Linked DNA regions of Oreochromis niloticus. The protein of the gene in region 2 interacts with the protein of the main gene of each other region in a biochemical or structural test. Links are inferred from orthologs where the notes say so. Each region holds a gene or a part of one and is shown on either strand. Other genes may lie near its edges.

Region 1 (7,586 bases), on a different chromosome or scaffold from region 2:
CGGCCCTCGCTGCTAAACCTATATCAAAACATGTATGCGCGACTTCCTCTCCCTCTGCCTTTCCCATACATAGCAGTGAAGACCGAGCGCAGGGAGAGCCGGAGGGTTGGGGCGGGGGAGAAAAATCAGTTGTTGCTATGGTAACGACAGGCAGAGAAGAACTAGGGCTGTGTGCTGGGTGGGGGCGGAGGGGTGCTTAGTGTCAGCTTGGAAACAGTCTTGCGGCCTCTGCACCTGCACCACACTTTGCATGACAAGCTGCAGGAAGCTGGAGGACAGGAAGTAGAGGGTGAGCATCACCAACAAAAAAAAAAAAGAAAAAGTGTGAGGCAGTAAACCAAGGTCTTTACAATGGGAAACCCTAGCCAAGCTATTTCTGACACCACAAGGGGGAAGCAGCCAGATTACAGCCAACAAATATATCTCAAGTAACAGCAGGACATCCTTTTACAAGGATGAGGTTAGCTACCGTTAAAATGTTCATCAACCAAAAGGAATCAGGGGTTTGGAGAAAAAGACAAAGCACTTGCAAGAAACAAATTTACAACAAATGCCACGCCGACTGCCCATCTTGGAATTGCAGCTATTCCGGATCAGGATGTGCGCTCGTTGCTGCTGAACTCACTGTCACTATGTGAAAACACGTCTGCAGACTGCATTGACTTACTTTGCCCTTGCCGGTTGTCTTGTTTTTGCTGCCCTTCGGCCGTCCTCTGGGCCTCTTTGGAGTAGGGGACCCACTTGGTTCCTGGCAATCACAATCAATACAAAGTTAGGGTAGTATACAACATCTGGACAATATTTTATCAACATAAGCTCTTAAAAATCTGGTTTATATTGATCAAGGTATATTGATCAAGGTTTTCAAATCAAATTATAGACATACAAAAAACAAAAAGCTCTCTCAGGTAAAGACATTGCAACTTATGTGCATTAAATGCTAAAAAGGTTGCCATGGTCCAGCAGATACAAGTTCACAAATAACAGATGTGTCATTAAGGGAAATATGCAACAGTAAGCACTTAGGGGATTACCGTCACATGCAAAAAAGCAAGGTACATTCAGCTCGAGGTGAGTTATCGTATTCATGTGTGGTTGTAAGCTTCGTCATGGCTGACGCGCCTCCTGTTGCATTTCTGCTGTGTTTACAACCGCAGCTCATAGCAACCGAGCAATTCAATAGTAAAAACACAGCTGGCTGAGTGACAGGTATATGAGCCACTGTGCGCTTCGACTCTGCTATGTCATCCATTACATGGAGAGCAGAGGTGGGTCGTGGGGGTTAAATCTGGTTTAAAGGCTTTAGGTTACAGGTTGCTTACAAACCAGTGAGACATGTGGCAAGTTTGTTGTTCTTCCCTTACAGTGATAAGGAAGGGGCAAATGGTCACAAGGGCATGCTGCAGCCATTTCAGGAGTCTTAATTTCATTGAGGGATATGCATGAGAAGCTCAGCTGCAATAATATCTACCTGAGCATCAGCTGCAGCAGACCTGAGTTAAAGGGTTTAAAAAAAAAAAAAAAAAATCTGCTCCCATCTTTTTAATAATATTAAATACATCCTTACTGTAATTTCTGGGATGCAATAATAATAATAATAATAATAATAATAATAATAATAATAATAATAATAATAATAATAATAATGATAATGATAATAATAATAAAACAGCACACTTTCTCCAATAAATAGAAGAACAGAATGGGACTACTTACGTCAGAGGTTTTTACCTGCGGCTGCTTACGGGGTCTTCCACGCCCTCTCTTCTCTGTGGCTTCCTTCTCTTTCGGTGAGACTGTCCCCTTGTCGCTCATGTTTGCGTAGCTTTTCAGACCTAAAGACATAAATCACACCGGTCACTCTTGCAGCAAGGGGAGGCGTCGAGTTCACACACAGAAAAATACACGGGCTATTAAACTCAGTGACCGCAACAGCAAACAAAAAAAAAGGGGGGGGACCGGCCTACCCACACACCGGTAACGCGTTTAACTCAATTAATCCGCGCTTATTTCCAGGTCTATTTCTGTCACAACCGTGCTCCATTACATAGCCGACGCTGCCACACAAACACTGGATTGGGATCAAACCGGCTTGCAGGGTACAGCCGGGACTCAGTAAGCGTTCGGAGGCCGAGCAAACCTGCAAAATACTACTGAACCCGGCGCTCCCCTGCCTCCACGACCATGTTTAGAGGCCCGTTTGCTGTAGTTGTTGTAGCCAACAATCGGGCCTGCGCATGAGACTCGCAGCATGTCTGCACGCCGGGGCGACGAAGAGATATCCCCCCCCCTCCTCCTCCGCCGCCGCCGCCGCCGACACACACATGCACATACACACAATGGCTAGTGTGTGCTCGTCTGGATTTGCAGGGTAAAGCCCTAGCCTGCATGGCGGCACCCATTTTTTGAGTGCTATAGAAAATGCAAGCAGAGCTCATTTGCGGGAACGAGAGCCCGGGCCGGAGCAACAAAAGACGGCTTCACATCTAAAGCATGCAGCGTCCTCTCGCCGGAGATCCCTCTCTGTAAAAATGCATTTAGGCGGTTGTAGCTTGCAAACTTTAGCTTGCCTTTCGACGTCTTTTTCTTGTGCACTCACCTTTATCGCTCGGTAGCAACCTCTGCTCTATATTTAAGACGAAATGTTTCCTTTAAGCCTAGCTGGTTGTACCCGGTTAAAAAGCCTCGCTCTGATCTATAGGCTACAGCTTTTATTCGTCAGACAACACACAGCCCGCCCCTTTAAAATCCCAGCTCATGCCGCTTTAAAAACAGTTATGAATTAAAATAAGAGCGGGTCAATATATATATACACATTTTTTAATGATTTATTTTTAAATAATAAAATAATACAAATTACCAGCAGGATGAAAAGTTTACTCCAACGACGTCCTATAAATAGCGCACGTGCTCGTCTTGTCTCCTACAGATAAAGGAAAAAGGCGCCAGCCAGGAGGAGTTTTGGGGCAATTTAAAGAGCCGCCCTCATGGGAGCTGGAACATTGGAGGGCGGAGATATAAGTGGGCCACCAACAGTACTACTAGCAGGCCAACCCCCCCCCGCCACCCACTTACGGATCCCTTTAATTCTCCAGGTTCAATCACAAAATATAAAAACATGTTTTTAAGTGGCGGGATATACTTTTAGGAACCAAGGAAAGAATGACTACTTACTGTATTTATATTGTCCCATACTACATTAACTTAACCAACACATACCACAGTCTCCACAGTAAAATGGTGAATGAACTATGACCTTCTCCAATGTAAACATAAGCTGCCTTTGAGCTCGGGAATGATTTACATCCTTTACGCAGGTAAAACACGACTCCAGTAATGCATTAAAATGAAAAGTTAAATATTTACTAAATGAATAACACAGTAATGCGTTTGTTTAACAACAAAATGAATATCATCATAATATAGTGGAAGAAAATGTACAAAATTGTCTCTGTATTGCAGAATATTACATAAAATAATTCAGTTCTGGTTTTAGATCTTAGGTACAGTACTACACTGATCTTCTATGTGTTTAAGGTTTGTAATATCAGTGTAATACATGTAAATAGTTCACCTGCATAAACCTCTGTGCAAATAACACTGTAAAACATGGGTGTGATGCTGTGATCCTGGTGCAGTTTCTTATGTTTCAGAAATGCTTCTATCTGTTGAGACGACATTTTACATAAATCACCTATTTGTTGTTAGAATATCTTTTTTAAATGAATTGATCCCAACCACCATCTACACCACTTACCATAGATACAGAAAATCTACACCCACAAGCTCTTTGTTGTATCATATTTAAATTTTAATTTATTGATCTCTTTATCTTTTTATATTTTCTTTTTAACTGAGTCCATTCTTTAGTCTTTCCAAGCTATTTCACCTTGTTATCTGTTTTTACTTTGTTGAGCTGAGTTTTTTATTAGCTAATTTCCATATTTTAAAATTTTAAAAAAAAGTAGTCTTAATTTTTCCTTCATCTTAAATGTTTAATGGTTAATAATATAGTATAGGGTTGTGTTTTGTGCTGTTTACCATGACAAAAACACCCCACTAAAAACGATTTTTAATTTTATTAAGCATTTGGGATTTATTTGTATTTTATTTTTTCTAAAAAAATTCCAACATTTGGATATTATTTTTAATATTTCACTGATGGCTTTATCTTAATGATAAAAAAAATATTAGCCACATTAAAAAAAAAGCACAAAATATTGCTTTTATGTTATTCACTCATTTTTCCTATGATATCACTGCAGCGTTGCGTTGTACCTGTTGAGAACAGGCAGTAGCTGTCGCTGTATTTCAGCAAACGTTAATCTGAGTACAAGACAACTCAGTTATCCCATCCTGACAATATGCCACCATAGAGGAGTTCCTTGAGTAAGCGCATGCAAGAGCCATAAAACACCCCTACTGCTACTGCTGGCTCTTTTATTCTTATAGTTAAATATGTCGACCTTTGATGTTGCTCCCGTGAAATGGACAAACGTCTGATGTTGATTGCATGGGTGTGAGAATGCGGATAAAAACAACCTAGGCTTCCAGTAGGTAGTATGCAAAGGTAGCCCACTTTCACACAAGGGGTTCTCCTGTAAATGAGCTACCCATGTGGAGTTGATGGGTCTGCTACTATCCAATTGAAAACAGATTTCTGAGATTGCAGTGGGACATGAAAGTGCTTGTAAGGGGACCTTTCGCCTTCTTCTGTGTGTATTCTACCTCTCTGTTTGTTAGGTCACAGCGGATCTCAAATAACTTACAGCAAACACACATATCAAATGACTCCAAAGGCTTTGTTATCAGCGGAGAGCACATGCATGTCAATACACTGTACATATATGACGAGGAGAGCGGGAGTTTGGTGAATAGGGCACTGGATAGAGCATGAATGGAGAGCGCTTTTCTCAATGAGTCCAATGTTCTGCTCAGCATGTGCTTGCCTTGCATGCCACCCCCTTCCCTCTCAATTTCTCAGTCTATTCACTTCCTTCGTATCTACTTCAGGCCCATCCCCCACAAATCTCTGGCATACCCACCCTTCAGTATGTGGATGGAGACAGGGAAATAGGTTCTCTCTCTCTCTCTCTCTCTCTCTCTCTCTCTCTCTCTCTCTCACACACACACACACACACACACACACACTCTCTCACTCTCTCTCTCTCTCTCTCTCTCTGCGCGCGTGTGCGTGTGTGTGTGTGTGTGAAGAATGCTGTCACTCTCACCACTGGCACCACCTGGAGACCAATTTAGGGAGTGGATATTGTGACTGATTAGTAATGGTGAAAAGCAAATGATTGCTTTACATTTAGCTGAGATGCAAAATAGTTGGATTTTAAAACTGGGGGGAAAAAAACCTAACAAAACAAAAAACCAAAACATGTGCGCCTTTGCAACTTTGGTTTTACTTTTGCCTGTAAAGACAAATTAAAAAGGCTTTTGGGTGTGATAGCATCAACCTGCCAGGTATCCTGTATGTCTTTGGCGCACCTTCTCTGACCCAATATATATCATGATAATTTAAACCCTTTTAAACATAAACATAAACCCTTAATAAACATAAACTGATATCTATCTATCTATCTATCTATCTATCTATCTATCTATCTATCTATCTATCTATCTATCTATCTATCTATCTATCTATCTATCTATCTGTCTATCTATCTATCTATCTATTCAGAGGAAATCTGTTTGTTAAGCCACTTAACGCTCACCTATAAATCATTAAATAAAAACATCATCTAACTCAAGGGATGAACTAGTGATGTTTCTAAAGATAACAGACAACTTAGCAAATAACCAATTTTAAATTGTATCTTGAGACACTTTATTACTAGCATCCTGTTGCAAATGCTAAAAATAACATTGTTAAAAATACCTGAAATAGCATTTTTACACCAACAAGGTGCTACTAGATAAACACCTGACGTATCGCAACATAAACCTCAAAGAAATTGAGGAAACTGCACAAGTAGAGGATAAAAGAAGTACCGGGTCTACAAAACTGTCTACAGCAGATGAACAGTATCCAAAAGTAATTTCCATAAGAAATAAGAAAAAAAATCCTGCAGAAAGGCTGTCAAGAGGTTATTCTTAAGGAAGGGAAATGGGAATCAACCAGCCTAAAAATTAGTAGTAACAGATCTCATGGAGTGATGAACCTAAGTTTGAAAAGTCTGATTCAAATAATCATCAATATTTACAGAGGAGGACAGGAGAGATGTACAGTGACTGCTTACAGCCATCGGTAAAACATGGTAGAGGCTCTGTCATGGTTTGCGCTGCACTTAAACCTGTGGTGTTTTACATCTTGTCAAAATTGGTAGAATTATAAATGTAGAAAAATGCCATTATATCTTTCATCCACCATCTAATAGAGCTTCCTTTTTCAGCATGACATTGATCCCAAACACACTGTCAATGCAGTAAAAGCATACCTGACTAGAAAAACATCCAGCTGAAGCCTATCAGTCATGGACTGATCTCCCCAGAGGCCTGAATTACTGAAGCAGTCTGGGATCATCTTGACAGAGAACAGAACAAAAGGCAGGCAACATCCAAAGAAGAGCTTTGAATGTCCTTCAGGAAGCTGAGAGAACTATGGCTGAAGACTGCTTAAAGAAATTACAAAAAGGCTTGTCAGGCTCCATTGAATGATAAAAGTGGTCATACCAAATATTGACTCTCGCACTCATACAAACTCTGTTTTTGCCTAATAAATTCTGATGTATTCCCATTTACGTTTGCATGTTTAAATGAAGTGCTGCACGTGTTTAATATTTTCCCCAAAGATATAAAAAATGAGGGGCACTTAAGACTTTGCACAACATTTTCTATTAATTAACTACGTTATGACGTACATCTGAAAAAAAGACCATGCAACAATTTCTGCAATGAGTTTATTCATTAAAAACTAGTATTTCCAGGCATTAATAAAACTTTATCTATCTATTTGGTTTATTTTATTTTATTTTATTTGCATGCATTCAGGGATTCCCTGGATAAATAAATAAATAGTCAGTGCAAAGCTGTAATAAGAATTCATCTTTCTACAAAACTATCATCTCAGCAAATCTAATTTGTTTCCTTCATTTGTTTTGTGGATTTTAAGGAATTAAACATCCATATTTCAGTGTCATCACATCGCATAAACGTGGAGCGTAAGTGTATCTGATGATCCCCAGAAGCCGGAATGACTAGAAGGAGAGCACAAAACAAACTTGGAGCCAGCTTGAATTTCAGCACTAATTGAATCTTGGAAGAGACAAACACTTCCACATCAGACGCCCTCTTCAGAGACGTCTGCTTGCTTGTGAACTCTGCAGCAGAGTTTGGGTAGACAGAATCCTATTGACCCTTGGAGGGTGGGGGTTGGGGGTCTTGGCCCACTTTGGCATGCTCACCCCTCCCCCACCCCATGTCCTCCTGCCCCCTCACCCCCTTTTTCTCCTATAGCTCATCTGTCTTCCCCTTCAGCGCGCTCTCTAGCTCATTCTAGCAATCCATTTTTAGGCGCTTTGTAAACCACAAGTGATCCAGCCAAACCAACTAACAGATGTGGACAAAACATCCTATTC
Region 2 (7,731 bases):
CAAATCTTTGTCACGGTTAAGCGGCAAGTGCGGCGCATCACATCTGAGCAAAGCGGCAGAGGTGACGGACAAATCAGGACCGCGGCCAGCATGCGACGAGAGATGAAGACGGCTACTTCTCTCTTTCTGGTTCTTTTCCTCTTTACGGTCTGCTGGATCCCACTTCACATAATCAACTGCTTCCTGCTTCTCTGTCCACGCTGCTATGTACCTCTTGAGCTTCTGCTCACAGCCATCATCCTGTCACACGCAAACTCTGCTGTCAACCCTTTCCTTTATGCCTACACCATGACGGCTTTCAGGGACACATTTAAAGCTATTTTTATGTGCTGCAGGACAGTGGTGGACAGAGAGGCTTTAAATGAGACCAACAGTGGGGATCAACGCTAGACCTGATCATAACTTTAATCCCAGGCTTCAAACCGAATAAATCATTTTGGCTCACCCCTCAGATTTGACAGCAGGGAGCCTCTTCTTGAGCTCTTCTTTGTCCTCTGCCCGCAGTGCATTGAATCCCTTCAGCTGAGCGGCGCTGTACTCGGGCTTGAAAACCAGCTCCTCCCTGCGGCTCACGAAACACGCCGTGTGGTACCAGCGGTCAATAAGACCCAGCTGTGGCTTCTCGGGGTCCACAGTTTTCTTGGACACACGAATCTGATCCTGGTGGTTCAAATGGATCAAATATTTATGGGAAAATGACAAAGTTAAGCCACCAGATAATTAAATAATTACATTTAAACAGCAGTTTTCAGACAATAAAAGCGGTCCCAAACCTTTTCTATTTTCTGCTCACAGCCTTTGCATGTGCTGCGGTTTGACTTGGCATATTCCACAGCAAAGTCATTCAGCGTCTTCTCGCCTTTAGCGCCACCCTTCTGGTCACCTTTCCCTACAAGATCAAAAATTGAACATTTATATCTTTTTATAGCTGGTTCAGTTATATGTAATAAAACATATATCATGATGAGTCTACAGATGTATAGATATATGTATAGGTTAAATCTGAGTTATGTCAGACCAACTACAATTGAAATGGCTGTCAGTTGTTTTCATTCAAATGACTGACAGACTCAGTGTTCAGCTCTAAATAAGCCTACCAAAGCTTCACCTATAGTCTAGTCATCAGGAAACCATTTAAAATATATAATACAGGGTTTGATTTTCTTTCCAAAGTCAACTGCTATAAATTCTTGTGACTGAGCAGGTAATTATGTTATCCTCTCAGGATAAGGGCATTTACACTAAAGAATGAAATTACTTTATGATTTTTCTTTGCTGCTGCACTGATTGATTCTTTGATGAGGCAATGTTTAACTGCTGCTTAGTAACACTGTTACTCCTTCGATTGCCTATAATAACTAAAGGAAGCTTAAGATAACATTAATTAAGTCGACCAACCATTTCCACGAGGGGTCACAGCCTAATAAAACTTAAGTACTGACCTCCTGCGGCGCCACCGCTTTCAATGGCCTTTTTCACCTTCTGTTGGTCATCCCAGCGGAGATCAGAAAACCCAGCGATATCAGCGGTGGACTGAGCTGATGCTCGCTGCCAGAAGCAGGAGAAGTGGTGCCAGTGGGGGACCTTCCCATCAAACATGGGAGACTGGAGAACAAAAAACAAACACAGATGTTTTATTTTACAGTGTAAAGTGTCTCTAATTGCTTCTTCCAGCTCGATGGTTATATGATGCCTGAGAAGGGTAATATTTTCCTGCCAGACTTATTTAATCATCTCTTTTCTTTACCAATGCCATGTTATGTGTAGGGCATTCAATCCATTTATTGCATGACACAAAGATACTTTGGAACTAACTCTTAAGTTAAATCCAGGTTGTGCAAAATTTTGACAAACAGCCCATGGCTTTGAGACATTTTTTATGGACATCAGTATTAAAAAAAATAAGATGTAAACATGCTGTTTTCTAGCAATGACAGTCCCTGGGCAGGTAACAAAAAAGAAAGCATGTATAGCTATGAAAATTGAATAAATATTGTATATTTAGGACATAGCACATTTTTTAAGGTTCATATACAAAGATTAAAAAAAAAAATCTTTTACTAAGGCATACTTTATACAAGGTGTAAACTAAAGTGGCTCAAGAATAGAGCCCTGTGTGACCCCTACATTCTTAAAAAAAAGGTGCATTAAGTGCTCAAAAAGTACTTTACACTCTGCTGATTTGTATGAATTACACAGACTGAATGTGACAGGTCTTTAGAGAGAAAAGTTGAGTGACCTGAGAATCTGGAGCTGTTCCATCAACCATGAGTAAACAGGCAGCCACATAAGCAGCTCTCCGACTCTTTAAGTGATTACCTCTCTGTGGGGCAGCAGCAGTTTCCACGCAGTGGTATTTCTGCTTCTGTGTGCTGTGATTTTTTTCCTATTATTTGTCTTCTGGGATAGACAAACTCTGAATATCTGCAGCCTTCAAGCATAAATTAAATTAGCTCATGAACTGCAAGATGCATAATAGCCAGACAGAGACAAAAAGGCTCCGCGGCTCTTTGTGATGGACAGGAGTGCACAGACAATGTCAGCCATTTAAATGCTAACGAGGGCCTGATTCGGCGCAACTCAAACCACACCATAAGCTATATTTTCCTACTCTCCAGTCTGCTCCTACCCATCCACTACACCCGTACAACAGCCCGCATGCTTTACGCAGATAGCAGCACCCAGATAGCAAGCTAGTTAACGGAGCAGCTTTGCCTCCACACGTCGCCACCTTACCTGCACCATGATAGCCATCCTCAGCGAGTCTTTAGCTATGTTTTCTTTGCATTTTTTGCACGACGCGCGGCCACTTTTGGCGTATTCCACCCTGTACAGCTTGTCCTCTTGTGAGTCTGCCATAGTTGATTTATTTCTTAATACTAAAACAGAACTACGCAAATTCACCACGAGCCGAACAACTTTCTTCGGGTGACGAGGAACCGCAACAATCAACGCACTGGCGGAGAGAAGCCCGCGTGCCTGCAGAGAGAAGAGTCACGTGGAGAGTTCTCACTCTGTCTCTGTTTCCCACCGCACCAGCGGCTCTCTCATCTGGGAAAACTACAGCTCTAAACTCGCAATCTCAATCTCATTCTTCCTGAGTGAGATATGAGCGAGTGAAGGTGACATGTATGCTGAATATCCATATGTCTTAAAGTGAGATTTTAAGGATTTAAAGACATGGAAATTTGGAGTTTAGCCTCTGGAGTAGAGCCTGTGATGCATAGTGTGCTACATGTGCTGCAGATAATATCCGTAATAAAGAGGCTATATCATTTCTTTTTTTATCACTGTGTATGCATACAAAATGTTTGCCCTGTGTCACATTAAGGCCTTTACTCCGGACCTGTGGTACCGCACCTGTGTACTGTGGTACAATGATGTTTTCATTGTTTCCATGCATTTTTTAAATCCTTTATCCTACAGTAATGTCCCTTTTGGCATTAATAAAGTACCTACCTACACTAAAGACCAGAACTGAATTAAGATCTAAAGGAAAATAATTCAAAACTTTATCAAAATTACACAAAATCCATTAACACATACCTTAAACATTAAATTACTAAAATATGCAACTGAATTGTGTAAAAATAAAGACAACAGCAACAACAAAACAACAACAACAACAAAACCTTTACAGCTCTGCTTAGATTTGCATCTTGACTTAAGAAACACATAAATTCTCTTCAGTACTATACAAAATCCAACAGATACATGAAAAACACTGTGACTATTAACATTATTATGATTAATATATTGTATTATTATGTTTATTATATGATTATTATGATTATATGATTATATTACTGTTATGCTTAAGGCTTTTATAAAGGCTTTTTATAGACCATATATTTATATTTGATTAATTTTAGACAAAAATAGGAAAATAAATATATTTCTGTCCTGTGACAACAGTGAAACAGCATTCAGAGAGATGATATTTTAATTTAGCTTTTAACTAACGCTTATTTATTTAATGCTTATTTATTCTATCCTGTTATTCTATTTATATTATTCATTTAGTTTTACCTAATACCTATTGATTGTATTCTTATTCATTTTTTATCTTCTTACTCTGTTTATACTTATATTTATATTATATCCCACTCTTATTTATTTTATCTTTTTATCCTGTTTATATTCTTATTAGGTCATATCTCCAGTGTTTCCTCGGAGGGGGGTTCTCTGCACCGGGGCTGTGATCGACCGTGGCTGCTGGGGCCCTGTGGGTCCTCTGAACCTGGCTGGGGGGCTTCTTTGCCTCCCTCCTGCTGTGTGCCCAGCCTGGAGGCTACGGTCTGTGACCGGCTCCCGGTGCAGACAGCTCCCTGTGATAGTGTTTCCTCACTTGGCTAATACGTACCCAGCCCAATTTTACTCTTTAGGTGTGTGTGTGTGTATGTGTGTGTGTGTGTGGGGGGGGGATGTGTGTATCATGACCGCTTCTGTTAATGACAGTGCGGGGAATGAGTGGGAGGGTGGGGTGGGCTGCTTTTAACCATGTAAAGCACTTTGTGCTACAGTTTGTATGAAAAGTGCTTTATAAATAAAGATTGTAATTGTAATTGTAATTGTAATTATTACAGAACTTTAATTGAAAAATGTAATGGAAAATAAACCAGTATGTGATTACAGTCTACAGTGTTTGTCAGGAAACCTTTGTTTATGTCTAGGAAAGGAGTATTAGACACTACTGTAGATGAGCTAACTTCTGTAGAGATTATGTTTATTCTTTTCGAGCTTTCTGTAAACCTTCCGGGTGAACCATCTTTCAAAATAGAGCATCAGTGAGCCGGCTGCAGAAGACCCGCGCTGGCTGCAGACAGAACTAATGGAGTCAAGAGCAATCGTCGTGACTCTCAAGAAAGGAAGACACACCTCCAAGAAGAATACACCTTCAAAAAAAGAGTTTAATAAGAGTATCGTGTCATTAATAATTAATAATACAGAGTTAAAAAATTAAAAGCACCCAGCTTTATGGTAATAATTGATTTTATTAGTAGAAACTGGACTGGTTTGAATGTTTTTGTAAAAATTATATTAAAAAAATGAAGTAAAAAGTTTTGCTGATACAGACGTACTATTCGCTGTGAACATTTCTATACTGTAGCAATAATTAAACATGTCTTTGTTATCTATTTAAAAACTGCACAAAGTCCCATAGAGGAGCTTAACATTAATATTTGAAGTTAAAAGACAAACAAAATAAAGACTGACGTGAATTTGTGTCAGTTTGAATCAGACCTGCAATGTAAAACATTCCTACATCACGATTTGTTTGATTTTAATAAATGATCAAGGTAAATAGAAAAAAGAAAAGAAAAAAGAAAGTACACCATTTTACATATCTGGACATAATCACTCTGGTTCTTAGTTAGGACCGAAACTTCAGTTGAACAACAAAATAACATCAACATATGACATATTACACTGTGTCGTCCACAAAAACTAAGCCAAAGTGCAGAAGCAGAGTGTGAAAAACTAAGTGCACTCTTACTGTTTCCATAGGAATTAACAGAGTAAGTAGCAGACAGGTCTTGCTAATTAAATGCACTTGATTAATTGATTGTCAGTGAGTATGAGCACCTATATAGAAGTAGAACTTTTGGCAGTTTGATGGTCTGCTGCATTCAGTTGTGTGTTAACACAATGACAAGGAGTAAAGCAAAGGCTGCCTATCAGTCTGGGAAGGTTTATAAAGAAACTTCCAAACAATTTGATGTCCATCATTCTATAGTGAGAAAGCTTATTCTCACTATTATATTATATATCTCACTATTATAATATCTTTTGCTACAATGCACAGCATCATATTTGGTGAAAACATAGCATATCAGCACATGCACCTCATACTAGCTCTCAAGCACGGTGGTGGAATTGTAATACTTTGGGCTTGTTTTGCAGCAACAGGACCTTGCAGTCATTCCTATGTATTCCTAAGTATTCTAGAGTCACATGGGAAAAATTGTAATTGAGTCATTGAACAGGAAAATGATCCCAAGCACAGAAACAAATCTACAACAGAATGGTTGAAAAAGAACAGAATCAAGGTGTTGCAATGGCCTGGTCAAAGACCAGACCTTAACTGACTGAAATACTGAAAGAGAGCTGTGCATAAATGATTGCCTGCAAACAATATTACAAAGGCTGGCTGGCCAGTTTATTAGGGCCTAAATATGGGACTCTCCACCAGTTGATCGTAGAAATGAAGAAGCTTCACGGATGAGAGGTGAAACTTAAAGGAGTCCACTCGCTTTTCTTTCCAAGCCCCTTGGATTACCATGACCTGGATGACTGAGGACCTTCACATAGATAAAGTTTTACAGAAAACATTTACATCAAGTTATTGCTGCTAAATGTGGTTCTACAAGCTATGGAGGTGGACTTAGTGTACCTAGTCTTTCACACATTGCTTCTACATGTGGTGTTATTCATCTGAGGTTGTATTTCAATGCATTTAAGATCTTGTAAGGATGAAATGATTTTTTTTAGGTCCTAACACAAAGAACCTTAGTACTGACAGAGGTTGTGCTTTCCTTTTTACCATGACAGTAAGAGGAATACAGTGATATGTAAGGTGTTTTTGGCATTAAAACTGTTTCAGTGTTCATCTTCTGAATCTCATAAATCCAGAACAACACTGACTCTGACAAGATAGAAAACAAGAAATACTGGCTCAGTGGAAACTATGCAAATACAGTATTTACAAAAGTAAACCGAGCAGCAATCACTTTATAAATAAAGGGATTTTTTTCTTTTTGGATTATGTTGCATGAGTGAATTATAGTGACCAAAATCTCTTTAACATATTTGAAATTATTGGATATAAAGAAGAAATAATGCTTGACTTCACAACATAAATGTACTAATTAAGATAATACAAACAAACAAACAAACAAACAAACAAACAAACAAACAAACAAACAAACAAACATCATTCTATATTGGCCATTTGTAGTCTAGGAGAATTTGTACTAAGAGGTAGTGTTTTGCTTGGAGGTCTGGAGTCTTGCTGATGTGTTATCCCAGCAAACATAAAGACATGTTGATTTTTTCTTTCTTTCTTTTTCTTTTTACAAAACAACCTTCAAATCAGTGCTTATAGTGTATAGATATGGCAATAATAGTGATGAAAAAGCACTTTGCACTGCTTACAACATACTTGTGAAACGTAAGAGGCCAGAACTTTGATTAGATAGCTCAGTTAGCTCCTAACCAACTAAAGTTCAGACCACATACCACTCGGTGTGTCATGCAAGATGAATGTTTTGGTCCAGAAGTCAAGAAATAGAAATATGAGCATGGATGATTTCCCATAAATTCCTATTAACTTGTCCAAAATTTTCTTGAGATGCCAAAAAAGATGGGTATGATGCAGTCTTGGAAGAAACAAGGCTTAAACAGGATTGGGCTCCTGCCACAGGTAGCTCAGTATTTTGTCTGTGAAGCTAATTCAGTTATGGCAAAGCATTAAAGGAATATGGCTCCAGTGTGTCCTGGCCTACGTGCAGCCATTTGACCCTGACAGTCCCCTCAGCGCTGCAGTCTGGAGGGAGTCCGATTGAACCTCCTGTTGCCTTCTCTCATCTTCTCCTTGTGTCTGGCCTGGACGAGACTGAACACCACCTCTGCCAGCGTCATGCGTCCTCCTGTCTGCCCTGCCAGGCGGCCATCTGTCCCATCGTTGGCCATCTTACCGCGCACGGTCCTGATGAAGTAGGTGCGGACTTT
Region 3 (7,975 bases), on a different chromosome or scaffold from region 2:
CTCTAATTTAGATCGAGCAAGTGCTGACATTTACACTGGGGATGTCTGGACCAGAGCCAGGTGCTCTGAGGCTTCACTGCATCACACAGATGGCACCATTCATACAGCTGACAGCTGGCTGCTTATAAAAGGCCGACCTTCCACCGCGAAAAGCAGATCAGAAACCTCGGGCAGAGTGATCGACCATCATGAGATCACTTCAGTGCTTCAATCACTCGGGACAAGTCGCAGTCGTCTCGCTTTTCTCTATTCTCCCTTTTTGGTCTGTTAGAAACATCTTAAGAAGCCTCCTCATCGATCTTCGGTGCCAGGTAGTATTTGATGTGCCCCATGTCAGCAATCTTGTACTCCACCACTGTAGGGAGAAAAACAAAACAAACAGTAAGTCTGGGCCACGACACACCAAACGAAGAATCCTGCAGTCATTTAAGGGAAGAGCAGATGCACGTACCCAGGGGGATATCAGCGGACATGCTGAGGGTGACGGTCTTGGAGAGCGGCGTGGCCTTGGTGAAGAAGTTCAGGTAGTTGAGGGCAAAGATCAGCTGGACGGGTTCATTCATCTCAATCGTAACCTAAACACAGGAAGGAAGAGCCAAGAACTTAACAGGTGCTGCCACAACAGCAAGTCTGCCACGCTCACTCAGATCACCAGCTCATACAGTAAATAAGGAGCTCTAAAGTAAAGGCCTTAATTGCTGTCTCAGCACTAAGATGTCAACAAATATTTAAGAATACTCGATTTATTAAAAAAAAAGAAAAGAAAAAAAGAAGTTTGTCTTAAAACTGCTGGTAACTAATTAATGCCTTTGAAAAAACAGTCATTAGTTAATGACACTGAAACATCTGCAGCTTTCAGCCTCCACCTGTACTCCGTACAAACAGCCAAAGTCACTTCTTGGTATCTATCAGAAACCTGAACTGATCCGGTCATAAGTCAGTATTTCTTTTTTATTGCATTTTTGCTGGCAAACAGCTTGTGAGTGCATTACTGCCACCTTCTGGCAGTAATAGCACATTACATCAGGTGCCAGTTAAAACGGAGTACAAAACACATATTCAAACTATCAGATTTTAATTATTGCACATGTAAATTTTATGCAATCGTCTTGATCATGTCTGCCAACACATGCCGAGCTCTCATACTCACAGCCTCGTCCTCTTTGTCCACATTGCTGGTCTGGGACAGCTTGATGTTTCCTGTGCCCAGCTCGCCTGAGGCGGAGAACTTGACTCCATCCTTGGCGCAGGAGATCATGACGGCGTCGCCGATCTGTGAAAGGTCACGGCAGATGCGAGCGAACTCCCCGGAGGGCATCTTCACCACACAGCTGTACTCCTGCTCCTGGAGGGACAGACAGACATGGAAAGGTTAGTAAGCGTGTGAGGAAAACCCTGCCGTACAAAAATGGAGGACGTAACAGCTGACTTACCGGAATACCAAGCTGCTCCACATCCAGGTCCATCAGCTTCATCTCATAATCTGACACCTTCTCCTGGTCTGCAAGATTGAAGAGAAGCAGTAAATACACCACTGTGACACCGCCAGTCAGGCTGATGTTACTGAATAAACATAGAATTCAAACTTACTGAGAGTCTCAAAGACGAGAGCGAGCGTGTCTGCATTGTCTTCTGCTCTGAGGGTGATGATGTCTTCATTTCCGGCACACTTCAAGATTTTTGACATACTGGATAAGAGAGGTAAAACATAAGTCAGAAAACTTTATTCTCACATTATAAAATACAACAAAACTAAATTAATAAATAACTAATAAAAACACGTAATTCACACAATAAATCAAATCCTTTCTGCAAAAGATAGTTAAAAATTTCAACAAGTAGTCAGTAGTTAAAAATATTATTCAGTCTGTTCTCGTTTTAAAAGGACCTGCAGCGACAACAGGCTAAACAATAAGACCGTTTAAAATAAATATTATTAACACTCTAATTTGCTGATTTAAAAAGAAGCGTTGTAAACAGCTAAACATCCATCACAAATGACTCAAGCTAAACAGGCAGTGACGTAGGAACGGAAGTGGTATTTCCCGGGTTCAACAATGATTCCCGCCAACCCTCCCGGCTCACAGTTTGGCGCTAAAACGCTGTCACCGCGCAATCACAAATCAGCGGAACTCTCTCAAACCGCTCCAAACGTAATTTAAACTTTAAACGGTGAATGTGAAGCCGAACTACTTTCTTTGCCCCATTAAACACATCTAATATACAAAGCGCGCCGTTTCAGAGCGGTCACTAAAGAGTTAACTAAGTTCAGGAGGCAGACATGCCCGGGCAACTCCGCCAAGATGGCCTTGTTCTTTGTCAGCATCAGAAGCTGCATGAAGATGTAATAAAGCGCGCTTAAAAGAGGCTAAAAGCGATCGTAAGACTCAAAAATAGTAACCGCGTCACAAACCAAGCAGCCATTTTTTTCGTGTTATTACACTCGATAAACTTTGACAACTCAACCTGTCAACCTGGGGACATTAGTCAGCAGAAACTCCTCTTAGCTAAGCCCCATCAAGAACCAGCAACGGGCTGGCATCAAACGGTGTTAAGACAGTATTTTCTACCTATAAACAATTTTTTTTTAAATGTTTGGTATGTGTACTCCACCTGCTCAGGTTGACTCCCATGGCGAGGTTCCTATCGCAGCGGTACGAGTCGAAGCCATCGTGCCGCAGGGTGAGCTGCACCAGGGAGACGTGAGAGGAGTCCATGCTCTGCAGGGAGATGCCGGACGAGCTGACGTCCCAGCAGGCTTCTGTGATCAGATCCTTCAGAGCCTCCAGCACCTTCTTCAGGATGGAGCCCTGGACCAGGCGAGCCTCGAACATGGTTGCTGTGGAGTTTTATGTCTGCGCAGATGAAAAGATGAGAAAGGCTTCTCTGAGAGCTCAGGTTTTTCTGTTGCTGGCGAGCACAGACACGGCACGTGAATACCACTCTCACGGCACGGCGGAGTTTAAGCTGAAAGCGCGCGCTAACCGCTGGTTTTAATGATTCGGGGGCACGATTGCGTCATTTCCGTTTCCTTGTCGACGCCACAACCGCTTAAAAGACTAGACGATTATTTCAGCCATGTTGGAGAGGACAATTTTGTAAGCTGGACAAATCATACAGAATATTGTACAACACTGTACAGCAGGGGTGTCAAACATAGGGCACGGGGGACCAGAATCGGCCGAGCAAAAACTCAAATTTGGCCCATTGGACAATTTTGGAAAATGTGGGCATCACGTTTTGTAATTTTTTTCAGAAGTTTTACAGGCTTTTACTACTGATAAAGACCTTTCCCATAGCCATTCACACAACACCAAAGTAATTAAGAAATACATAAATAAATGTCATAAAAGTTCTTGTTCAACTAAAGAAAAAGCAAACAAAATAACTTTGTTTTATATATACAGGACAATCTGGGCAATGAGCTACACATTTATTTCCTAAAATCTAAGTCCAAAGTGTAGCAGTTATTTTACTACAAAACAAAACTGAGACACACTGTTGTGATTTAACTTCTTTTTCTTATATTATAGTATCAGACAGATTAAATCTGTAATTGGACTTCTTTCCAGTGACAAAGTATTGAATTTAAATCAAAGTGGGAGTTAATCTTCACATCCTTAAAGTACTTGCTCTGTAAACCACAAAATGTATTTGTCATATAAAATGACCACTGTAATATGAATGTTTTGCATGCTAAATGTTTAAATTAACTGTAGCTATCACCTAAATATTCAAAATTTTACAAAGCTTAATAGTTGGGTAAATGTATTTAGTCTTTTTAAAAATATATTTACTACAAGTGCAACAATTTTGAACATTAGTTAGGATTTTCCTGTTAAAAAAAAAAAAAATCAGTCACTTTCTTTTTTATTTTAAACTTGGTCCAAAGGCAATAAAAATGGGGCTTCCTCCTTGTAAGAAAACAAGTTATGTGGAGAGAACACAAAGACCTCAAAAACCTTTTTATTAATGAAGTACTTGGTTTGACAAGCACATGGTGTCACAAATTACACAAATCACGTCCCAAGTCTGTTGCACACATACAGGCACACATAGAAAAGGATGTTACGTTTGCACGGCCATTTAACCCCTGAGAATGTACTGGTTCAGGCCACTTGACAGGCTGGTTTGACACTCGATTCAGATATGAAGCAGCGAACAGTCTTACAGAAAAGCAGTCTGAGGTATTCATTCATGTCAAACAGGACAGATTATTTTTAATTTTTTAAGTGCTGTAGCAGGTGTTTCTTTTGTAATTGGATGGAAAGAAATTTGTGCAGGGTTTAAGTGCAGAGACTAAATTTCTCCGTTTAGAGATCAGAGAGTATGTAGTTGGTTGCCATGGTGATGATTGGGGCTCCTGTTGGTACACCTGGGAAAGGACCGCTGGACCCGGCGATGTCAACGTGGGAGTACGGCAGAGGGGCTTCAGAATCCACACCGTGCTGCGGTGGGCACACATAAGGTAACAACACAGGTTATTCCACACGAGTGCACACATTTCACATGAATAGCAGATGAATAAAATGTGCGAGCACCTTGTCGAGTCCTGAAGCCATGATGAGGAAAGCTGCAGGTGTCTGATGTCCTCTAGGTGTAGCAGAGGACGGCAGGTTGTTGCACTGCAGGATGTCCTCATACTCAGACTGGCCCTTGTGGAACTCATAGTCCTCGCGCCTGATAGTAGACACCTCAAACAAATCGCCCAGCACCTCTCCGGCTGAAAGGGAGAGGGCCACGTATTAGTGTAAATCAAAGGCAGAGTTCTGCCAACTGAAGGCAACATTGTGTTAGTGTAGGAGAAGGTAGGGTCATTTCACAGGATGAAAGTCACAGCGAACAGAATCAGTGGCATCTTGCAGAAACCCCTCAGCTAACATCAGTGGTTCCAGCTATGAGATCAGCAGTTTTATAGTGGTGTGGGCTGAATGCATGAAACAGGAACAAGATAGGACCCTGCACTGGTGGAAAGAGGTTTATGAAGCAATGTGCTTTTACTTCTTTTCAAGTATTTGCAATTCTTACAATAGCAGCATCTGCTGGGAAAACTGTAGTACTGCAATTTTATGAAAGCCTAAACTACAAAACTGTGCTAGGCCAACAGGAGTGGTCTCACTGATTATGTCATTATAATTTGCTCCAATAATAGTTACACCAAAAAAAACCTGTTAAAAGCTGTTGAAAACATAGACTGTAAAGAGGTCACATGATTCAATTCATATATAAATATGCTTTGAAAGGCTGCCCTGTTTTAGACAGTCTGTGTAAAGATCTGGGGAGATTTTTCTAATGATTAGACCCTAAATCAGGTCCTATAAAGTCTACAGTCTGCACTAAAGTTATGTCTTAACAGAGTTTGATGCGAACATAATTCATTTTTTTTTAAAACATATTAAAATCAAATTAATCAAAGTATCTGAGTAAATGTGCAGCAATCAAGCAGTCCATTCATCAAATAATGGTTTTAGCTGCAATTTAAATTAACAGAACAGAGTACTTCATAGCATCATCTGTACAGTTAAAATAACTAAAGGACTGGTTATTCGGCGTTAGTGATGGTAAATTTGATTCTTTTTACTGAATCGAGTTTTAATGAGTCACTCACCAAAGTGAATCAGGTTTTTTGAGTCATTTGAGTCACTGAGTCAGTTGACCAGAGTGCAAAAAATGTACATTTTCACTCAAACTTAATTTGTTTCTCTTTTAATGTAAATCCTACTGCTAAGATGAGTGATTCTTAAAGAAAACAACTATTTTATATAGCAAAAAAGAGCAAAAGAATTTCTAAAGGGAACATTTATTTTGTTTATTTTTATTTTATTAGTATTTTCCTTACATGTGTCAAATATATATTTTCTCATCTAAATGTCCACTGAGCTGTGAGCCAGGGGGCGGTAGTGCGCCTTAACATTGGTTGCCAACCAAGAAGAAGAAGAAGTAGCTGCGAGCCAGGAGGGAGGGGGTGAGTGAGTGAGTGAGTGAGTGATTCGTTCGCTCTATGATTCAGCACAGGAGGGAGGGGGTTAGCGAGTCATGAGTGATTCGCTCGCTCTATGATTCAGCACAGGAGGGAGGGGGTGAGCGAGTCATGAGTGATTCGCGCGCTTTATGATTCAGCACAGGAGGGAGGGGGTGAGCGAGTCATGAGTGATTCGTGCGCTTTATGATTCAGCACAGGAGGGAGGGGGTTAGTGAGTCCTGAGTGATTTGCTTACACTACGATTCAGCACAGGAGGGAGGGGGTTAGTGAGTCCTGAGTGATTTGCTTCCCCTACGATTCAGCGCAGGAAGGGAGGGGGTGAGTAGCTCAAATGTGCTGTTAGCATGTTAGCAGAGCGATACTACTGTGAACCGAGGAGCTATTGTCTTGATGTGAGCTTCTACTCAGGGTTTTTTCTTCCAGTTCAGAGCAGAAATGTTTTTGTTAAGATACTGGATGTTGTGTTTTTCTTCACAATTTGATTTATAAGCTAGATATATTTCTACTAATGAAATTAGTTTGCTAACAGCAACAGGGATGAGTCAGTGAGTCAGTTGCGCTTGTGAATCATGATTCACGAGTCAGTAAAGTGATTCTCGAGTATTGAACGATTCGTTCATGATTCGCGCATCACTATTCGGCGTTTCCTCTGTCAGTGAAGTTGTCTTGGCTGTTTTGGTTTGTACACCTGGCAAAACAGGTGAACTAACTCAACTGTGAATAAAAGGATTCAGCTCCAGCTGAAAGAGCTGCAGAGGCCTTAGGTAAGGAGATCTATAATTGTAAATATTTCTCACCTTTCTGCCACTGAGCAGCGTTCCCGCTGCGATGGGCCGGCCCGTTATCCATGATGATCTACAACAAGAAGTTCCAAACTTAACTTAGTACAATAATACAACAATGATGATTAAAACACTGGAATGTCTGGACACTCAAAGTAGTCCTACTGTGCTCTTATTTTTTTTCCTATCATAAAGGAGGGGTCACAGATTCTTTGTTTCATTTAGTTCAGAATTCAGACTGTTACCCTTTATGTACCACAACAACAAATTCAGGTCAGATTTCTAAATGCCAAATTGATTACAAAGAGATTATGAGTAAAATCCATGCTTTTGTCAATATGCATCACCTGACTAGTTTAGAAAATCTTAAAAACAAACTGGGAAACTGATTTGGGAGAATCTACTCCAGACTCAACTGGGCAAACTGTAGTCCAGTTTAAACTTGTACATAGTGGTCATTGGTCTGCTGATCATCGTGTGACCGATGCAGAGGATCCTGACCACTGTTGTATGTTTTGGTTTGTTTTCTAAAATATGTGGACAAACAGCACATCCATCTCCATTAATTTCACTGTTTGGGTTGGCTCCATTAGATATCTCTCTAAGGGAACATGACTGCCTTCTTATTTCTCTTGGCTTAGAGGGCTCATTCTCTCTCCATGGAAGGATTTTCTGTCCCCATCATTTAGCCAACTGTTGTCAAGTGCTTCCTCACAGAGGGTTGTTTTTCTTCTCTCTTATTTACCTCATAATATAAAGCATGTTGAGGCGACTGCTTTTGTGATTTGGCACTGTATAAATAAACCTGAATTGAATTAAATTAGATCAGATACAACACTAGAGGAATTTTATGTTACCTGGCAACCATTAATATAATTTGTTAAAAGCAGCTGTCATTACTAACACAGAACAGTATTGGTGTACTGAATGCATGTGACAGAATGACAAGATATTTTTATACATGACTGAGTAAATATGTTAATAATGTCTGACTATATTCATATCCTTGATCTGGTTTTCTAGGGGTAGGGTGGGTTAGGTTTGAGAAATGTGTTCAGACTGTTTTTTGTTTTGTATTGATAAAAAAATTGAGTTACAATAGTGCATGCTCATTTTAAACATTGCCAAAGTGGCTAGTGTATGTATAAGAAACCCTGTAAGCCAAAAGCTCCATCTTCAGATTACTCGAAACAATCTGTTTTATTATTTA
Region 4 (7,771 bases), on a different chromosome or scaffold from region 2:
CAGTTTGGGTTTATGAATTTGTACTAACAGATGCAACTTGCAAACCAAGCTTGTTAGCGTTAGCTGATAACATCACTCCATTCTTTCATAGTCCAGAATTAATTTTGCCGATATTGTAGGAAAAATGTTTTCTTCTGGAAATTACGTTTTCAATTGAAATGATCAACAAAATATATATATTATATATTTTTTTTACATGAAATGAGGGAAAGCAGAGAATTTCTACCAACAACCACCTATAAGCAGCTGCTTCTTATGCACACCTGTACATTCTGTTGTGATTTAACTAAACTTCTAATGTCTGATTATCCTTATCCTAGAAAAAGGATAGTATTTTATGAACAATATTGGATTTCTTGTATGAAAAGAGATGTAAGAAGTGTTGTTTTATTGAAATTCAAATGTATTTGTCCTTTTAAATCTAGCAGCTGGTGTAAAAAAATATTTTAGCTCCCTTTAATTGGGCTTGCTACATCCATCACACATATACAGTCTGTGTTCCTAACATTCAACAAGAAAAACAGATGTTTCAGCTGGAGAAAGCATTTTTTCAGCACTGACCTTCTCCACTATAAATGTACAGTTGACATACATGAGTCACTATGGAAACAGTTGCTGTGGCTGCATGCACCTAAATCTTCACCAATGTGTATATTATCTGTAACGTAAATGATATTTAATGAATCGAATGAACCAACACACCTTGATTGCTGGGTGGGTCTTAGTGGTGTCATTACTTTTTTCTCCGGGAATGCTGCCAGCAGACCGTCCCTCACACTTGTACCTAAATCTCATCCCCCTTTGCTTTGGCTGCTCGATAATCTCTATGTAGGGAGCTGTTGAGGAAAGCAAAGGCATTGTGTGCTCATTGTGAAATACTGCTTTACGTGTGTCAACACAGATACAGCCTCATCGATCGTCACTACACCCGAGGGTAGAAATGTTTACTCATGAAATCACTGCAGAGAACATCAGTAATTCTTTTTAAAAAGGAAAGTGCGCTTACCCTGGTTGAGCGGGGTAAGGCTCCATCCATATCCAGCTGTGATGAACAGAAACAAGAACGGAATTTAACCAACTTATTGAGAAAAACTGCAGGTTTTCCATCTACGACTTACACGAGGAAGCACACAGTGGTGGTGGAGATGACAAAAATAATAGAAAACAGATTTGTTGCATATTTGTGGTTTAGTCAGAGTTTGTCATTTGTGGTGAGGTCAGGGTGGAATTCTACAAGAGAGTGCAGCGTCCAACGGGGTCGAAGGACGCCGAGATACAAGGGCCTCCCAGCTAAATATAATCTCTGGTTGTCATAAACCACTTGCCTGCAAAGCTACCGAGAAGGAGACGAAGTGCAGAAAAAGGCAAACAATGACAGGCAGGGCTTTTAATATTGGTGTCAGGTTACCAGCTTTGTTGCTGGAAGCCTTTAGTGCAGGGAGCACTCCAGTTTCAGGCAATAAGTAAGGTGTGACACTGGATGAGTTGATCAAAGCTCCACCCATCAGCAGGCAGGACTGGTTCAGTTCAAAAGCTTGAGTAGAGTCCTTTCCATGCTGTAACATGTTTGCTTTCTAGCTTCAGCCCAAAGACATTATTCTTGCTTTTTAGGTTCTGATCATACCTAAAATGCCAGAATAATATTGAATGAAGAGGCTGCCTAAAGCCCCAAAGTCAAGACTAAAAATAACAAACAAACATTTTTAAAAAATGGATGACATAAGTCTGTAATGACTGCATTTTGACCACTTATGTGAAAGACAGTCTTTTCTACTTACTGAGTCTGGATGATGTGAAAGTGAAAGCACATACCCACAATGATCGAAAGATCATTAATGACTGAATTAAGAGCATCACACCTGAGGTCTTCGACACTGTTGCTAGAATCACTTTCATTTTTACTGACCGAACAAAGGGACATACTTTTTATGATGCTCAGTCAGATGATGGCTGTTTGTCGTGCCAATATCCACATCCAAGACAGAGATAAGTGACACTTATCAACAAACATAATCTATTTTAAGGGTTATAACATTTGCATAAAGTATGGCTGCACTCTAAACATAGGAAGTCAACAGAACTCCATTATAAAATGTCGTTTGTTTATGGTTTAGCCTAAAGGGAAAGGTATATATGGAATAAAATAGAAACGGGGGCGGCTGTGAAATCTTCACAGTATCTGCATACACGTGTTCTCCTGAACACAGAGCTTATTACCACAATTTCCTATCGGAACCGTTTTTGTCAATTAAAGCCGGTGTGGGCGGTTGCTAGCAGCGTCGCCCAATTAAATACGAGACTTTTTTATTGAAAAGAACGTTATACGGTGGTTTTAACCAGGCCGAATTTAAAATACACTATTCACTGTGACTGATAAGCTTTTGAGAGCGTGATTCACAAAGAGCATTTCCACTTACAAACAGAAAAACATTAAATGGCGAGACTTCCGAACGAAGTTTCAGTGGCTAGAAGGAAATCTCTCAAGTGGACAAACCCCACGGGCCTCTTGGCAGCGCGAGACCGTTTGGTTCGCTCCGCTCGTGCCAGTTGAGTTGTCCACACGCTGAGAAATTCATTCAGTTAAACATCAAGTTTCTCTCGGCTATCTCACATGTATGCGATAAACCAAAGTTAAGTCAAACTTCTGTCTGTACGTTAGTTTAGTATCCGGGAACAGACTCCTCCTGTTGGCGCAAAACCCAATGATAGCGGGGCTTTCCCTTGTGCGCAAAACAACTCCCTGTACAGTTTCACCTCCCGTGTCTGAGATGAGTAAATAAAAGCAGCTTCACTTACGGTCCATAGCTGTGTCCAAGTCCAGCTCACGCTCCTCGATATCCCCCGCTGTTTCTCAATAATTTGTATCTTGTTTAAAGCCAAAAAAGAGCAGGAAACACGGCACTACAGACTCCACGAAGTTCTTGACAGAGCCGCTCTGTCGCCTCCTTCGCTCCACCTACGTCTGTGTATGAGAGTGTACAGTTAGTAAAGCCGCAGGGATAGTTACGTTCATGCTCACGGGGTTTCCGGTAAGTAACATCTATTTGGGGAGCGATGTGTTGCAACTTTCTGTTTATTTTTTGTGCAACACACCTGTCGCCAAGTTGCAGCAACTGCACAGTACGTGCTTTGTTCTCTTCATTGCGATGTCTTTTTCTCACATAGTAGGCATTGTTTTTGTGCCACGTTTATTAGAAATGCAGAATCTGAAATTGGATAACACCTTTTATTTACTACGTAGGCAGCTATTAGCTTTATCACTAAATGTTAAATAAATGAATCAAATTTGTAGTGAACTCACAAAATCAAAACATGGCAGATTTTTTTTTTCGGGGGGTAATTTCCAAGATAACGGAAATAGCTGTGAAGAGAACAATAGCTTGGTTTATTTTTTATTTTTAAAGCATACATTACTGCCTTTACCAAGTCCAAAATTATCAATAGTTTGTTTTCATGGTTTTCACGCTTTTGTTGTGCCATAATAATAATTACTATAATCACATTAGTATAGCAGAACTGTGGTGTAATAGGAGTAGTGTATGCCAATTGTGCGTTACTTATTTTAAGACTTTGGTCTCTTTGCAAGGGACAAGCAATTGCTCATAAGAAACTACATGCTCTTATTTTGAAGAGGGAAAATTGCGTCGTTTCCGGCGCTGTGGCTAGCTTGATCCAGTTGCAGACCTCTGCCTTCTCTCTGCAGTGCAACTTGCCACCACCCACTCAAAACAGTGCGGAAATACCCAGTGACGCACTTGAAAGAAACTGAAAAATAAGTGAGTGGGAGAGGCAATAACATAACTCTTGGCTTGAGTCATAACCTGGAAGAGCCTTAAGATTAAGATCCAACTCACTTTTTTTCCTGTCTGTCGGTTCTCGGCCTCTTCTCTCTGTAAACAGACACAACATACAGATCTCAAGTTTACCAGCTGCTGTGTTTTTCTGGCCTGTCCTTCACACACGGTCTTACGTTACAAGTTTCTGGTCTGCTGGTTGCACTAGAAATCAGTGTCTACTTAATACAGTGTGATAATAGTGATAGGGCTTCAAACTCTTTTTTTCTTTCTTTTTTTAATCAACGATTATTTCACCATGTTGTTTTAGTCCAGTTGAAGACAAAGTAACGTGAATAAAGGACTAATTTTGCTCTCAGAATCAGTAAACAATATTTATATATCAAAACCATTACTCTTAAAGTGTTGACATATCCTGACCAGAAGGGGGCGCTCGAGGTGAATAAATCAGGGCCTTTAGGACACCTGTCCTTTGATAGAATGTGGTGAAAATGAAAACTTATCCAGATTTTCTTAGGGTAAACGATGTTTCATTATAAATAGAGTATATCTAATGGTAATTTTTGCATCGTTATTATTATGATTGTTGCTGTAAGAAGCCCTGGATAAGCTGACGCATTCAACGCAATCGAAAATCACAGGTAAAAAGCAAGAAAATGCAGTGAATATGTAATTGAGCATCTGTTTGTTTGGTTACCCTTATTTTCTAATACAAATACATTTTTGTACCCTTATATCACGATGTTTATGGTTGAGCCATACTTTATATAGCATTAGCTGAATTTGAGGCTTGAATTAGAAAATGAGGAGGAAAAAAAGTACGTGAAACTTATGAATATGATTACTATGTTTTCAAATTAAAAAAAACTGTCCACTGTTCTCCTTTCTTCTCTAGAAACTAAAATATCCGAGGCGTAGTTGAATGAGGCGTAATTGCCCTAAATGGGAGGCCGCGAAAGGGAGGCGGTTTCTGTTCGTTGAGGCGGTGTCTGCTCTGCCTGCTTCAGACTGCGGCGGGCAGAGCTGTTCGTTACAGAAATGGCGGAGGGGGAGTTGGACGTCGACTCGCTGATTTCCAGGCTTTTAGAGGGTGAGTTCACAACCAACTTTTATTTATGTATTCTTGTTTTGCCCAGTGTTAGCCCCTAATACTTATTTAGGTTTCATTTTTGACAAGAAAGGCCCGCTTTACGTGTTAGCGTTGCCCGGTTCTGGAGTGAGCAGGACTGGTCCTCACTGTCGTTAACAACAGGCACACCTTTTTATTCAGCAGCCGTCTTTCCTTCACGGCTCTTTTTAGATTAATTTGTAATTGATGTGGATACAGCTATGATCGAGCTTTTTTGTACACTGCATTTTGAAGGTTTGGGTGATTGAGTGGTAAGAAAGTTATTGCTAGTGGGCTGTTTGTGCTTCGATGGCTCCAGTATGGAAGAGAATGTCAGACCTATCTTACTATCCATCTTAGTCTAACTAGCTAATATTATAGTAATTAAGTGCTGTCTTACTAATGTCACAGCATCAATTTTATTTGGTGCATTTCTTTGGAATGCACCAAATAAAATACTTGGCAAGTTGTTTCTACTGTCTTTCAACCTATTATAGTCTCTGGTCCTTTACAAAAGCTCTGTTCAAAATACGCTGTGGAGGGCGATAGCTTCAGGGGCAAATGCTCAGCAAAAGTTGACATTTCCTTAAAAATAAAGTTTAGATTGACGATTGAGTGTAGCCGAAAGTGTTCCAACAGCTGCCTGATCCACGAGGAAGTAAAATCTTGCCTCTGATTTCTAAAAATTGGGTTTGTCTTTACTTCTAAGAAAAATTCAAAATATTTAAATGGGATTTGGCTTAAGGGTTTCTGAGCTGAAGACTGCAGCTCTGTGTTGTTTTCTGGCGCATATTGCTAAATGGCGATGTTTACACAAGCCACAGGCTTCAGTAGTATTCCCATTAAAACATACTTGTAGGAGTTCAAAACCTAAACCAAACTTTTAGCTCTACTACTCCGTGTGTTTTCTTATTCCATGAACGAGTGCATATAGTTTGTTCAGCTGGCCTTTTGATCATAAAGAACACACATTTTGTCAGCAGTACTATATTTAATAAGAATCTTTTCGATACTAGCTGTGGTTCAACTTTATCCAGAGAGACACTTGTTAATTCTGTATTCTGTGGTAGCTTATATGCATGTGGGCTGCTGAGCTGTTGTGTAAAAGTGTTTTTGCCCCTACTCCATTGTTATGTGTTGGCTAGCAGCAGGGGATGATTTTCTTAGCAGTGCTAAATGAGGGATTCTGACAGACAGAGGAGTCGATGTAGATGATAATTTCTTGAAAACAGATTATAAGCAGAGAGATTATATCTCTCTGAGTCAGTGGTGAACAAGCATTCATGCCAGATCATCTCATGGAAAGCAACTTCTGCTAATGATTGAACCCAATGTAGATGTGCAGTGCATGTCAGTATAACTTAATCATCTGGACTGACAGGAGCAGTGACATAATGGTGCTTGTTTTCTCTTTGTGCGTGATCTGTAGAGTGTAACAGTACTGTGCCTGCAAGAATTGACTATAGTATGCTGGCTTCATGTTTAGAAGTTAACTTCATTGCAGGAAATTGGAGGGATCTGGCCCTAAAAGCTTCCAGATGTTAGCCCTCAATGTATCCAACTATCCATCTCCTTTCATTCACTTTTCATCTGCAACCATTTGAAAATGTCTGGCTTTTTTGTTGGTGTGACCATATTATCAGAGGGGCATCATAAGCTGTACTGAAGGCTTTTAGTTCTGACTCATAACCAAAACTGGATGTATACGAAACCAGTTATCTGGTGATGGGTCACAAATACTCGGTGATTAGTAATAGATGGGCTGGGTGCATTTGAAATGTCTCCCAGTATTGCTGCAATGTCTAGATTTTGTTGAGCATACTCATTTCAGTTTGGATGGTGTGATGTTTTTGTAATCAGATTATCTGACATTGTTTCTGTGGGCTTTTTTAAAACAAAAGGTTTTAAATCTTATTAAAATAGGGCTCCAAGTAAACCCAATGTTCCTGCATTTAAATTACTTGTTTACTCCAAAATGGTGTTTCCCAGAAATGAATTTACTTCTGTAGGTTACTTTTGTATACTAATGCCTGTCTAAGAATAATTTGGGACTCCTTTTAGCAATTTTTTTTTTTTTTTTTTTTTTTTTTTTTTTTAAATTTCAAAGCCAGTCTTTATTTTCTTATCCATGGCCAATCCAGTTGCTATAATTCTGAGACTGCAGTTGCTGCTAAGCAGTTTCTGCACCAGCAGGCTGATGTGATCTTTGCAGCAACCCTCAATGTCACTGAGCTGCTTCCCCAGAGAGTCTTTCGTCCTGTGATTGGACAGACTCAACACCACCACTGTGGACTGCATCTAGCAACAGTAGCCTTCGTCTATTCTGGAAGTCCTCTGTGAGCTTCTCCAGAATCTGTGGCAGGTGGAGGTGTGGTTTATATGCTGTTATGCTGAACACCACAGAGCAGAATGAGGAATACTGTCGCTTACTGTTGATCTGGATAGTCGAATTGTCTGCTGTATGATGTCCTAACTGGGTAGACAGCTGAATATGAATAATGGTCACAAACGTTGTGTATTCCTATTATTTAGATATATAGACACAATCATATGCATCAACCTGCTCTCATCGTAAATCCCGTTTAGTTCTGTGGGAAAAACTGTAAAAGGTATTCGATTTTCTGTTATGGATTGTAAAGAAAACCTTTACATAGTGAATTTTAAGTAATTGGCTTTCATAAAAATGACCAAACACTTGGTTAAGTAATGGTTAAGCACCTTTAAAGAAGAAGAAAATGTGTATTCAGATTCATGCGAGCATTCACTTTTCTGTCCTTGATATCAATCATATTTTTTGCTTTACTACAAGCAAACGTTCAAGTGCTTTGTAGCAGGCCACACGTAATTACAGCAGTGACAAGTATATAAG

Evidence for each region.
Region 1: the proteins of parp1 (region 2) and hmga1a form a complex in vitro, tested with the Homo sapiens proteins (2 studies listed by BioGRID, with this or other methods). The link is inferred for Oreochromis niloticus from reciprocal best matches to the Homo sapiens genes PARP1 and HMGA1.
Region 3: the proteins of parp1 (region 2) and pcna form a complex in vitro, tested with the Homo sapiens proteins (3 studies listed by BioGRID). The link is inferred for Oreochromis niloticus from reciprocal best matches to the Homo sapiens genes PARP1 and PCNA.
Region 4: the proteins of parp1 (region 2) and rela form a complex in vitro, tested with the Homo sapiens proteins (2 studies listed by BioGRID). The link is inferred for Oreochromis niloticus from reciprocal best matches to the Homo sapiens genes PARP1 and RELA.

Annotation. Positions count from the first base shown.
Region 1 is NC_031984.2:12,115,777-12,123,362, reverse strand, and holds the start of hmga1a (high mobility group AT-hook 1a), read right to left. Parts: upstream 3,014-7,586; 5' UTR 2,861-3,013; intron 2,770-2,860; exon of another isoform or gene 2,600-2,769; intron 2,536-2,599; exon of another isoform or gene 2,141-2,535; intron 1,836-2,140; 5' UTR 1,816-1,835; coding exon 1,717-1,815; intron 749-1,716; coding exon 668-748; intron 1-667. UniProt on the Homo sapiens protein: HMG-I/Y bind preferentially to the minor groove of A+T rich regions in double-stranded DNA. It is suggested that these proteins could function in nucleosome phasing and in the 3'-end processing of mRNA transcripts.
Region 2 is NC_031980.2:10,088,280-10,096,010, reverse strand, and holds the start of parp1 (poly [ADP-ribose] polymerase 1), read right to left. Parts: upstream 3,003-7,731; 5' UTR 2,860-3,002; coding exon 2,737-2,859; intron 1,606-2,736; coding exon 1,443-1,605; intron 890-1,442; coding exon 774-889; intron 661-773; coding exon 446-660; intron 440-445; exon of another isoform or gene 391-439; coding exon of another isoform or gene 1-390. Other genes in the region: adenosine receptor A1, read left to right, coding at 1-390; si:dkey-206f10.1 (adenylate cyclase type 8), read right to left, coding at 7,534-7,731. UniProt on the Homo sapiens protein: Poly-ADP-ribosyltransferase that mediates poly-ADP-ribosylation of proteins and plays a key role in DNA repair.
Region 3 is NC_031977.2:25,564,693-25,572,667, reverse strand, and holds the start of pcna (proliferating cell nuclear antigen), read right to left. Parts: upstream 3,007-7,975; 5' UTR 2,835-3,006; coding exon 2,614-2,834; intron 1,689-2,613; coding exon 1,591-1,688; intron 1,502-1,590; coding exon 1,434-1,501; intron 1,346-1,433; coding exon 1,151-1,345; intron 576-1,150; coding exon 452-575; intron 356-451; coding exon 279-355; 3' UTR 1-278. Other genes in the region: zgc:152830 (putative aminopeptidase W07G4.4), read right to left, coding at 4,314-4,448, 4,542-4,723, 6,781-6,838. UniProt on the Homo sapiens protein: Auxiliary protein of DNA polymerase delta and epsilon, is involved in the control of eukaryotic DNA replication by increasing the polymerase's processibility during elongation of the leading strand.
Region 4 is NC_031967.2:4,864,935-4,872,705, reverse strand, and holds the start of rela (transcription factor p65), read right to left. Parts: upstream 3,006-7,771; 5' UTR 2,804-3,005; coding exon 2,797-2,803; intron 1,043-2,796; coding exon 1,007-1,042; intron 837-1,006; coding exon 703-836; intron 1-702. Other genes in the region: serine/threonine-protein phosphatase PP1-beta catalytic subunit, read left to right, coding at 4,833-4,884. UniProt on the Homo sapiens protein: NF-kappa-B is a pleiotropic transcription factor present in almost all cell types and is the endpoint of a series of signal transduction events that are initiated by a vast array of stimuli related to many biological processes such as inflammation, immunity, differentiation, cell growth, tumorigenesis and apoptosis.